Linked DNA regions of Coturnix japonica. The protein of the gene in region 1 binds, or shares a complex with, the protein of each later gene. Links are inferred from orthologs where the notes say so. Each region holds a gene or a part of one and is shown on either strand. Other genes may lie near its edges. The genes, in order: TCTN1, TMEM237 and B9D1.

The links.
Region 2: TCTN1 (region 1) and TMEM237 share a complex: the UniProt entries of both Homo sapiens proteins name them as parts of the tectonic-like complex. The link is inferred for Coturnix japonica from reciprocal best matches to the Homo sapiens genes TCTN1 and TMEM237.
Region 3: TCTN1 (region 1) and B9D1 share a complex: the UniProt entries of both Homo sapiens proteins name them as parts of the tectonic-like complex. The link is inferred for Coturnix japonica from reciprocal best matches to the Homo sapiens genes TCTN1 and B9D1.

The regions. Positions count from the first base shown.
Region 1 is NC_029530.1:5,167,814-5,171,460, reverse strand, and holds part of TCTN1 (tectonic-1), read right to left. Parts: intron 3,191-3,647; coding exon 3,065-3,190; intron 2,686-3,064; coding exon 2,603-2,685; intron 2,261-2,602; coding exon 2,120-2,260; intron 1,816-2,119; coding exon 1,659-1,815; intron 918-1,658; coding exon 792-917; intron 456-791; coding exon 312-455; 3' UTR 311-311; intron 1-310. UniProt on the Homo sapiens protein: Component of the tectonic-like complex, a complex localized at the transition zone of primary cilia and acting as a barrier that prevents diffusion of transmembrane proteins between the cilia and plasma membranes.
Region 2 is NC_029522.1:9,998,805-10,002,944, forward strand, and holds the start of TMEM237 (transmembrane protein 237), read right to left. Parts: upstream 2,896-4,140; 5' UTR 2,853-2,895; coding exon 2,823-2,852; intron 2,755-2,822; exon of another isoform or gene 2,105-2,754; coding exon of another isoform or gene 2,087-2,104; intron 1,738-2,086; coding exon 1,706-1,737; intron 668-1,705; coding exon 657-667; intron 34-656; coding exon 1-33. UniProt on the Homo sapiens protein: Component of the transition zone in primary cilia. Required for ciliogenesis.
Region 3 is NC_029529.1:5,249,600-5,253,712, forward strand, and holds the start of B9D1 (B9 domain-containing protein 1), read right to left. Parts: upstream 2,876-4,113; 5' UTR 935-2,875; coding exon 848-934; intron 755-847; coding exon 686-754; intron 1-685. Other genes in the region: CACNA1H (voltage-dependent T-type calcium channel subunit alpha-1H), read right to left, coding at 3,239-4,113. UniProt on the Homo sapiens protein: Component of the tectonic-like complex, a complex localized at the transition zone of primary cilia and acting as a barrier that prevents diffusion of transmembrane proteins between the cilia and plasma membranes.

The DNA.
Region 1 (3,647 bases):
TGCCACATGATTACTTTAATTAACAATTAGCTCTGCTGTTCACAGAATGATGAAGCCTAGTTTCCTATGGAGCTGTGCTCCTGCCATTTCTGCCTGCTTGCTGTGAGCCCCAGACCATTGGTCTGACCAGTAGCTCCGAGTGCCTTTTTTCTATTGGACAATTTTTAACTCCGCACACCTACAGTTTGGAAGAAACTGATGGGCCAACACAGTGCCTGGATAAACTTTGTTTCTTTAGGAAATTGATTAAAAATAGAAATGAGCTTTTTTTTTTTTTTTTTTTTACCTTTTTTTCATCTTGGGCACTTACCTTAGGCAAATGGGAAGAAAAAGTCATGTTGTAACTTGGCATTAATGGTGGGCCAAGCTTTATAGCCTGGTTCTGCAGGTGAAGAAACATCAGTGAAAACAACAGAACTTGTTATAGGAATAGTCCTTTCTCTTCCTTGAGGAAGCTGCAATGAGAATACAGATGGGCATTAGCCTTGCTCTTCCCCTTGTGTGACTGCTTTGTTTAAACTGGATTTTGGATTTTTGCTGTTATTTGTAATAAGATTTTTCCATGTGTAATTGCACATTTCTTTTCAGGGCTGATGTATAAATTTGACTGAAGTATGCTTTGGCAAGCAGCCCGCAGTCATGTTTGAGTTGGAGCAGAAACTGTTGGGTACAATACATTCTAATATGAAGTGTTATCTTTAGAGAGATTAACCAGGTCACTGTTGCACAGCTGATACCTAAGCAAAACAAGCCATTCCTTTTATCTGAAATCCTGTAATTTAATTACATACCTTCTTCAATGTAGTTGTAGTGGTTGTTGCTGTAACGTTTACTATTCTGGCTTGTGGATTAACTAGGGATCCGTATTTAGTCCACTTCACTTCTATTTCAAGTGCTACTGGTATTTGGCAGGAGCTCTGAAAAGTGTCAGAAATCCTCTCATTATCTGACTTGTACAGGAGTAACCACAGTATTTATTCATCTTATTAGATGAGCACAATGCCCCCCCCCCCCAAAAGCTCACTCCAGGTGGTCAGCAGAGCAGCTCAGCTGTGCCTGTGCCTTGGACTGCTGCCTGCACAGACAGCACAGCCTCAGCTTGGGGGTGTCCCTGAAATTTTTCCATAGGTGACAAACTGACTTCATAAGTGCACTTCAGGCAGGGCTGTTCTACCCGAGCAGTGCTGATGCTTAATGGCCGTGCTGAGCTGGCTCTCTTCAGCAAGAAGGCTTTCCTAATAGTGATGACATTTTAGTAATGCTGCTGGGACAGTAGAAAACCTTTAACTTTGCCAGGGCAGAAATCTGAAGCGTACAGACTTAAATATTTTTTGATTATTTCTTTTTTTTAACACTCGTGCTCCTGTTTATAGAAATCATCCACTGTTTAGATGCAAAAAAACCCATCTCTACATAAGCTTTAATTGAGGAGGTGCTGTCATTCAGCCCTCTCAAAGAGGCACAAATGCTCTCCTTACAGCAAGAGGGAAATACTCCTTGTTTCTGAGTATCCCAGGGAAACTGTCCTCCAAGTTTTTATTAATTTTTTTTTCTTGCACTTTTTTTCCTGTAGGTCTGAGAAACCTAAGCTGAGAACAGGTTCAGATCCCAGAACAGGGTATAGAAAGAGCAATAGTGGGGGGAGAGTTAATCTTTACCTGTTCTGAGGTGTGAAGGTGAGTTATTGGCACCCAGTCGAGCACGTTCTGGGCTTGAGAATTTCCAAATGAAGCCACATACTCAGGAAATCTTTGTCCCATCAGTAAATCTAGGAGGACCTGGGCCAAGGGCTGGCAATTCATAGCTGCTGTAATTCTTCCAGGGTGGGAGAAGGGGAGGAGAAAAGAGAGTTAAAGCAAAATCCATTGGTTTGGCATGGAAGTAATTTCTCCTTGCTCTCACGCACTGTTCAAGCCTTCCAGCTAAAGTTGCTAATGTGCACAATCTCTCCAAGAGAAGAGAGACCATTGTTAATTAAATGATATTTCTTATAATTAAATGCTTTATTCCCAATACTCTTACAGTGGTATGAATGTCCCAGGATGTGAACAGATCCTAGTGGAAAGGGTTACCATGGGGCTATAAAAGCACTGAATAATAAAAAAGTAAGTTCTCTTACCGTAACTTACAGCCTGATATCATGTTGTAACCAAATAACACTGGGATTCTGGCTTCTTGTGCTGTGAGACAATCCTGGTTGGCTGTACTTTGCAGAATAGTGAGCTGACCATATTTGTTAGTGCTCTGAATGATGCCTGATGTAATGTGCAGTTAAAGGGAAATTCAGTACTTGTGGATTACAAAGAAAGAATCTGTAGCGAGATCCTTAAGGTTCATCTAAAAATGCTGTACTAACCCAAGACTTTTAAACCATGATGAAGCACTAGAGCATGCAACAAAGACCTGAATCTACCTCACTAAGCAGTTCCAGGAGATTGCAGTGAGGATTGAGACGTTGGTCACTTCTAGAACATAGCCAAAAAGCATCCATTTACTTTCAGTAAATAACAGATTAAATGCATAAGGTGTTCATGCTAGAAAGTCTCAGGGAAGTTGGTCCAGAACAAGTGCTGAAAACAGAATTTCAATGGGGAAAGGATATCCTTGTGGCTTGAAGCCTGCTCTTACAGCCAGTCCAACAACATAACCAGGATTACCACTGAAAGGAACTGGATTTGTATTTACCTGCAATACAAATTTACAGTATTACTTCTTATCTTGTACCGAAGTATTTAGAAAATGCTGAAATGTTTCAGTGTTTTTCTGGTTATTAACTGCCTTGAACAGTAGTGAAGTTTTTCTATAAGATTGCAGCTGTTCTCTGATACTGGGACAGGCTTTGCTTTTGCTGGATACTCTTGTACAGAGCAACAAGGTGAGTCTTCTAAGCATCAAAAACAGACTTTGGAGACCCTTAATGCCCAGTTCTGAAATGCTGCCTCATCTGTGTAGCCAGGACATGTAACATTTTACCTTGCTGCTAACAATTGTTCTGATTCAAGTTTAATAAGTTTTGTAATTAAATGTCTTTCAACAAGTCATCCATAGCATCTGTAGCAGTTACCTGAGTAAAGCTGATTTCAAAGCTCTGTTGTATTGAAAGTGTTTCTTTGTTAACTGCTCCCAAGACAAAAGAAGCAGCTGCTTCTATTATTTCTCCTGCGTCTGTGTATGTAATATGATAACTCACCTGAAAATGAAACATTTTAGATATTAATTAGAACAAGTAGATAAGAGTATGGACCTACAAGAAAGGAATTTAAAACTATGTAAGTATTGTTTTCCTTCTTCCATGCTTAAGAAACGCTCAGCTACGTTGTAGAGATGTATTGTATCCTCAGCTGCAGTAAGAACAGGCCCAGAAAATAGAAGAAACTGAAGTTCAAAATTAAGCAGTATTTTCAATGCTTGTTATTTGCTCTATTTTGCCCATTGTTTCTGACCTCACAAGAGTGGGAGTTTTAAGCCCGTGAAAAAAGCTATAATGTGATCTGACAGACAAAGCCATAATATTTGCAAAGAAGTTTGTAGCCATGTGAGCATATTTAGGTGTAAAGGACGTGACTGTTACCAAATCAAGCCACTGTAAAGCAATATTCAGAAACAGATCTAGGTTTGGAGCCTCTTCAAAACTGGCTTCTTGATAA
Region 2 (4,140 bases), on another chromosome or scaffold:
TTCTTTTTTTGGGACGACTGAGTGGAATGTCATCTGCAGAACAGAAACAAAAGTCAATGTGCACAGCATGGAAAAACCTTCATTTCCCTTTTTTAACAACCATACCATTCCAAATTAAGAAAGAGTCCTTTTTAAAAGCAAGGACATATTTCAGCTTTTACAGATCAGGTGACAATTCACCAATGTTCAGAAACAGGAAAAGTACAGTAGATAGCAGGAAAGCAAAATAACTTATCTGTCTTACGTGTAACAGAGGCTAAATATACACATGCACATGTTAAGTGAAAACCTGAATGATACTCTGAAGAATAAACTTCAGAGAACTCTTCAGAACACAGTGACAACATTACAGTTGCCCTAACTCAGAACTAGCAATTAGTAAGAAGAACAAAAGATCAGATAGTTCTCACAACAACAGTCTGAATACCCATGATTGCATGCATTTAGGAAGAGTGTAAGGATCAATCCTTCAGTCCTTCTGGGCAGCTTGGTCTAGCAGTTGGCAACCCTACACATAGCAGGGGGGCTGAAACTAGATGATCACTGTGATCCTTTTCAACCCAGGCAATCCTATGATTCTATGATTCAAGAGAGGATAAAATGACACAAGAACTATATAGATGGTTACAACTCTCTCTGATGACAGAATAACTCACCCTGGTTTCCACTTCACGTTTAATGAGAAAAGGTGTTGAAGAGCAGCGCCAAAGGAGCAAAGGTAAGAAGAGAGTTAGTTTTTAATCAACTCACAACAGTGACATTCTCTCTACTTTTTCATTTCATTATTCCCCTTATTTCCATTCCCACGTTTATTTACTGGCAACTGTACACAAAAGGGTTAAGTGTACAAAGCAATCATCCAGACTCAACACTGTCCGTGACTGTGCAGTTTCTTGATTGGCCAGCTATAGATCAGATTAAAAGCGATAATCACCTGGTTAATTAAAACTTGCCTGACATGTAACAAACTAACAGAAGTTATGAAACATTACAACATACACATTACTAAAAATACACCTTTATATGTTGCCAATCATGAACATCACATTTGCCCTAAGGTACTTTGAAGGAATTCTGACATATCATGCCATAAAAATCCGTAGAATTGCTTTTCCTTCCACACTGCTCATTAAAATGCTGGAAAAAAGAAAAAAGCCCAGATTTCTCTGGATGCAGTCGGACTCGATGATCTATAAGGTCTTTCCCAGCCTAAGCAATTCTATGATTCCATATTATGTCAAACTGATAAACACCTGTGTCTCCATTTGATAACACCTAGCTTGATTTCAAAAATCCCTGTCCTGAAGGATTTGTGATTTAAACGTACCAAAGAATGTAGCAAAACAACAGCAACAAAGAGTTAAGGAAGAAGAAAGTGAAAAGAGAAACATCAGTAAAACTGATACAGATGCTAATAAAACTGAAGTTGATGTTTGTCTAAGACTTTAAAAGGTTTAATCTTCCTGAATATTAAAAGTGAGGTAAACTTCAATTAAAAATGAGTCAATTTCTCAGCCTCTAAAAACGTTAAATGCTTTATAATTCTTGTGAGGGATTCTAGAACAACAAAGCAGCAAGAAAAGCAAATGTTTAAAAAGCTACTGTGACTGTGCAGATACTCAAACTCATTTTCTTTCATTTCATTTCCTTTAAAAACACAGCAGTAGAGAACCACAATCAATCCTGTGGAACGAACTGATCTTACCTTGGCACTGGGGGGAGGGCACGTGGAGGGCGCTGAAACATAACGGAGAGACAGAAGTCAGCTTCTGACAGTGCAAAATCATCCCGAGGTCTGTTAAACCACTCCACAGAGAACAGCTGCTTTCAGAGGCAATAATAACTCACACTATCTATGTTATGCTTCTGAAACCAGGTTCTCATACACAACCAAATACATAAAGAGTAAGAAACACATATCTCCTATTGTCAATCTGAAATGCAGTTCTTGCACTGGATGATTTTGTATTATATAATAATACATAAGAAGTATAGCATTAAACATTTCCTACATTACAAGAACTCAGTTGATACCAACAACACAAAAGCCTGCCTGACCAGTAAAGCTCAAGGGCCCCCAACTTACCACTTGTTTTTTCCCCATATCATTGGAAGCAGTTCCCTGGAAGAGGCACTGTGAACAGTTCTCCACTCCTGACGTCGCTCACGCTGAACCTCTGCTAATTCTGAACTAAAAATAAGCTTCTGGCTGCCCGGATTAGCTGGCTGTAAACCTCCCTGCCCCTGGGCCAGTGCCCAGCACTATTCCTGCTAGAATCAATGGTGGTTTGCTCTGGCAGCAAAGCTTGTCCTAAATGGCACCTGCCCCAAACCCCATTGCTCTATGTGCTGGTAAAGGTTCAGGTGAGCTCTGCTCGGGGATTTTCACCTGCTAAGTGAGACTCGCCGCACGAGGAAGCTTAAAGCGAAGTTTAGCTCGGGGCTCATTATTGCCTTCATCATCGTTTGAGCGATAACTATCGTTAATTATCTAGGATATGGCAGAGATCTCCAGCCCTCAGCTGCAGCTGCCCATGGCCCGGAGGAGCACACCGCAGGCCACAGCAAGGGGGCGGCTGCACGAGATGGCCATTTGGAGACTCCATCCCCCGGTGCCGTTCGGTGAGCAGGGCCACGGGAACCCTCCGACGAGACACACCCACGGCCGCCCCAGCGGCACAACGGGGGCCGGCTCTTCAAACTCGAAGCCCCCCACCCACCGCCGCACCGAACCGCCGCCAACGCCCACAGCGCGGCCTAGGCCGGGGAAGGCTTTAGGCCCGGCCCCCCCCCCGCCCTTCTGGGAGCCCCGCCGCCCTCACCCGCTCGGGTCCCGCCCGCGGCTCCGCCATGCCGCCCCCGCCGCCGTCCCGAGCCCCGCAGGGAGGAGCCGCCGCTCGCTTCCGCCCCGCCCCGCCGCTACGGCCGCGCTCCTCGGCGGCACAGCCGGTATCCTCAGTGCGGCGACGGGGAAAGCGAGGCCTTGAACAGACCGGGATTCCGGCTTCGTTCGCCTCGTTATGAGTGACACTATTTGCAAATGAAGTGACAAGCTCTAAGTTAAAAGAAAATCAAACTGCAAAGGGAACGAACACCCGATGCTGTGCTTTTCTGGCAGCTGCTTTTCAATGTACATCCCGCTGCTGCGAGGGGCAAAGTACCAGCTCATGCACCAGCCCGGCTCCCGCTGCTTGTACTCACCCCATTCCAGGGCCATGCAGGGCTCTGCTTTCCAGTGTGTTTCCTGCCAAGGACCCCGCTCTGACTTCACTATAAGCTGGCACAGTGCTAGCTGCAAGAGCAGGCTTACTACATGAATAACTTCTTTATAGGCAGCGCAACCTCCTCCAGTAGATTTTCTCCAGGAGGAACCAGGCCGACAGGATAAGTTGTTTCCTCTGAGTCCAATAAACCTGTAATGTGAGATGAAGAGAGTGAGGAATTTGTTAGCCATAGTCACTGTACTCTTTGGTGAAGAGAACGTGCTGCCTTGACTCAAACCAATAAGAAAAGGGGCTTTGGATATGATTTTCCTCTATAATAAATCCATATTTTGTCAGTTTTCAGTCACTTGAGTTGATGGAATAAAAGCCAAGCCCTGCTAAAATACTGTGGCAGCCCAAGTGACCTCAGGTGTGCACCCACTGCTCACAACAACCACATATCGGTGTGCAATCAGCACTGCCTGGGCTGGTGTGGGACATGGAGGATGCAGTGCAGCACTAACTCAACTTAAAAACAAAACCAAAAAAACAACCAAACAAACAAAAAAACCAAACAAAGAATCATGAATGTTTTGGTATGTTTATGACTGCATTTTCAGTTGACACAAATGTATAACCTGTGAATTTCCAACAGCTGCAATCAGGCATTCACTCCAAAGAATAGTTTGGTCATCATATCTCTTTACCAGGCTTTTTTAAGCCCTCTCTTACCACATGCTGAGCTTCACAAAAACAAGAACACATCCCATTGGTTTGAGGTTTTCGTTACTCTTTAAAAAAAAAATAAAAATGTTTTAATAAAAACACTGGAACATTTGATTTCTTATACAGTAACTGTACTGCATATGTTATGAAGGCTGCTCTGAAAGTAACACCTGCTATTTCATTGTGCTGGCCCACAATGTCAGAAGCAGAT
Region 3 (4,113 bases), on another chromosome or scaffold:
GCCCGGTGTGAGCCCGGTGTGAGCTCGGTGTGAGCGTTGTGCAGATCGGTGTGACCCGATGTGAGCTCGTGTGAGCCGGTGTGAGTCGGTTGAGCCCGGTGTGAGCTCGGTGTGAGCTCGTGTGAGATGGTTGTGAGCCCGGGTGTGAGCTGGTGTGAGCCCGGTGTGGAGCCCGGTGTGAGCTCGGTGTGTGAGGCCCGTGTGAGCCGTGTGAGCGGTGTGCGCTCGGTGTGAGCCCGTGATGAGCCCGGTGTGAGCTCGGTGTGAGCTCGGTGTGAGCCCGGTGTGAGCTCGGTGTGAGCTCGGTGTGAGCCGGTGTGAGCTCGGTGTGAGCCCGGTGTGAGCTCGGTGTGAGCTCGGTGTGAGCCGGTGTCGAGCTCGGTGTGAGCCCGGTGTGAGCCGGTGTGAGCTTCGCTGTTGAGCCGGTGTGAGAAGGTGTGAGCTCGGTGTGAGCAGTCAGTTGTGAGCTGCGGTGGTGCACGCTCAGTGTGACTCCCGGTGTGAGCTTCGGTGGTGACCCGGTGGTGAGCAGGTGGAGCTAGGTGGTGAGCTCAGTGTGGAGCTCGGTTTGAGCTCGTGTCAGCCCGAGTGTGGAGCCGGTGTGAGCTCGGTGTGAGCCCGGTGTGAGCCCGGTGTGAGCTCGGTGTGAGCCCGGTGCTGCCGGGGGCACAAAACGAGGTCTCACCGCTGCGGGAACCCAGTCCTGGCCGTAGACGAAGCAGAACTTGCAGTAGAGGTCGTCGAACCCAGGGAACTGCAATGGAGAGGCTGTTAACGGGGCCGGGCCCGGCCCACACGGCACAGACCGGAGATGGGTTACGGGACCGAGGACCGAACAAGGCCTCACCTGCCCGCTCTCGATCTGCCCGTTGACGGCCACCATGAAGACGCTGGGGCTGCTGGCGGCCGCCATCTTGCCGGTGGCCGTTGCCATGAGGACGGACGGAGCGGCGGAAGGGACAAACTATGCGGGGAGGGGCCTCGGAGACCCCCCCCCCTCAAATTCGGGCGGCTCTTTCTAAAGAGCACGGGAAATGGCCGCTAGGTGATGCTGCAATGCAAGGAGATCGAGACAGGGCTGTCAGGGGGGAGAAAAGCTTCGGGTCGGGGGTCTCTGAGGCGCCCACCCCTCGTTATGTTGGGTAATTAATGGTGCTTTTCCAGAATCCCTCATTAAACCAACGGGAAGGAATAACTGCAATAATCCCCCCCTGGCTGCTGATTGCACAGAGCAGGCAGGTCCCTGGGGATGCTCACAAAGTCAAGCCAGGCTTCCAGTTTATACAGTTTAATACATGTGAAACAAGATACATTTCCTTTCGAGTAATGAATGCATAAACAACAGAAGATATACGTGGATGCATAAATATGAGGCGGCATGGAACGAACCAAAGGAGAACGGTTGCTTTAGTTCTTTCTGTTGGTTGGTTGATAGTTTTTCCCCTCCCCAATGTGTCTTTTTGCTGCTGGTGTTGCAGTGCTGGGGCTGATGATGCTCATGGTGTCAGTGCTCTGTGGTGAAGCTGATCCGAGCAGAGGGTCTGGCTGAGGAGTGGGGAAGGAGCAGGGAATAGAGGCTACGAATGGAAAATCAACCCCCAAAACTAAATAAATGTATATTAAAATATATTAAAACGGTGTTCACTTGAACTTAAAAGGCTCTGGAATGTGGTGGAGGAACGTCTATGTGGGTGTGGGTTCAGGTTGGATATTAGGAATAATTCCTCCTCTGAGATAGCGCTGATGCTGGCAGTGCTGCCCAGGGATGGGTTCACCACCCTGGGGGTGTTCAGAACAACAGGGGGACGTGGTTTGGTGTCACAGTGGGATGGGGTTGGGTTGGGGATCCGAGGGGCCTTTCCCAGCCTCACTGGAGCTGATTACCACTCTAAGAATGGAAGGGGTTATGGCCACCATTGCGACCTCACAGCCAGGAGGAGAACAGATCCCAGCCTGCTCACATGGACCGCCACCAACAGCTCTTTGCACCTCGACGTACTGCACCAACAACCTACTTCAAACTGCAGGCAACAAAATACATGTCTTAAATAATTCACTATTTATTCTGTGAATCTCTTCAGATTGAAATTTTTCCCTTTTATTGTTTCGCCTCTGTTTGTTGTTTGTTTGTGCAATGTGGGACACCTCGTTTGTGCGCGGTACTTCAGATTATTGCAGCGTTTAACCTGAATTTCTGTTAAAAAAGGAGGAAGAAAAAGAAAACGAGCGAAAGGATCATTGTACAGACGAGAAGAATGAATAACTTATTATTGCACTGGCTACAATTCAGTAGTGATTTGGTTCCTTGCTGTTGGTTAGGACACAACCTCTAAAGTACAAAGGGAAAATGAAAGGGGCGGCGGAAGGAGGAGCTGTGGGCTGATGGTGGCGGTATAGGGGGGAAAGGAGAGCAAAGGAAGAGCAGAAACATTTGGACAATGAAGGGCTGTAAGAATCAGTTCCACATAAAACCCAAAGAAACACCACCCGGTCGCGGAGTCACACGTAATGCAAAAAACCAGTATTGTTTCTCTATAAAAATATGTGCATTATGAAGAAGAAGAAGAAGTTTTTTGTGAGTATTTTTTCTTGTTTTTTTTTTTTTTCTTTTTTTTTCTATTTTTTTTTTCTCTTTTCTCCTCGTTTTGTATCTCACAAGTACATCGTTTCTATGTATATAATTGCTGATATACAGACAACGTACAGCTCCCATTCCCCAGGGCGCTCCCACGGCGTGTGACGTCTCTAAAAGTGCCTTGTAAAAAGTTGAGCATCTTTAAAAACAAAACAACAACAACAAAACAACAACAACAAAAAGAGCCCCCTTACCCCCCACCCCAACGACAAAGAGAACCCTCAGCCCCCATCCGCCTCCACCCGGATCAATGTGACCGAGGGCGCAGAGGACTGAGAGCCACCCCCCCCCCGACCACATCCACTTTGCCCCCTCTGAACCCCCACCCTGAAACCCGGCACCGTTTCATCCGTTTGTTTGGTTTCTTCTTAAATAATAATAATAATAATTAATAATAATAATATTTTTCTTCTTTTTTCTTTTTTTTTTAATGTTTTTTGTTTTTGTTTTTGTTTTTTTGCAAACCTCCACAGCGCTTAAGAAGAAGGGACTGCTTGAAAGGGAAAAACCAGAGTGTGGCCACGCGGCCGCGCAGCCCCTTCGGTGTCCAACCCCATGTCGGTGTCAAGCCCTTGAGACCCCCCGCACCCCCCTCCCAGACAGCTATACGGGCTCGTCGATGTCTTCTTCTGTCGCAACAGTCACCAAGTCCTGCATCCGGACGGGGCTCTTGGCCACGCTGAGCAGCTCTTTGCTTTTCTCACTGTTGCTCCGTTGAGTTTTTAAAGGCTCCGGCTTTCTCAGTTCGCAGTCCGGTGTGGATCGCCCACTGTCCAGCAGATCCGAGAGGCTGCTCAGGGAGCCGCCATCCGACTGCTCGAAGGAGAAGCCGGGGATGGCCAAGTGCTGTGCACGGCGCTCTGCTTTGCAGCCCGGCTCCCCTGGCTGCGCCTCCGCTGGCTCCAGGGGCTCTCGATATGCTGGGAACTCGCAGGATGGGGTCCTGCGGCGCAGCATGCTGTTCTCAGAGGGTTTGGTGCGTGAGGCCGCCCCGCCATCATCCTCCATGGGAGGATCTATAGAAATACAGGGCGGGCTCATCTTCTTCTTCCTCCTGGCTCCATGGATGTACTCGGACTCCGGTTGGATGTGGGCAGGGGAGCGCGGCTTTTCCTCGGTGCGCTCCTCGAAGCCACAGTCCCCATCGCGGACGGAGGGGCAGATCTCGATGGAGTGTCGCCTTTGGTCATCCGCCCAGCTGGGCTTGGTGAGGAAGCCCTTTGTATCAATGCTGTAAAACTTCTTCAAGTCCCTCTCCTTGCCGCTGCCTGCCACCAGGCTGCTTGTGCTGCAATTCTTCAGGGGCACCGGCGATGTGGCCGGCGAGACGAATGGTGATGTGGAGCAGCTCCCAGCCTCCGAGTGCTCCCCCCAGTCTTTGGCTGAGCTGTTAATGTGGCGAACCTCCTCGTCAGCCAAGTCGGAGGGCTCCAGGAGGCAGCCCTGGGGGGTTGGGGGGCTCTCGGTGGGACTGGGGA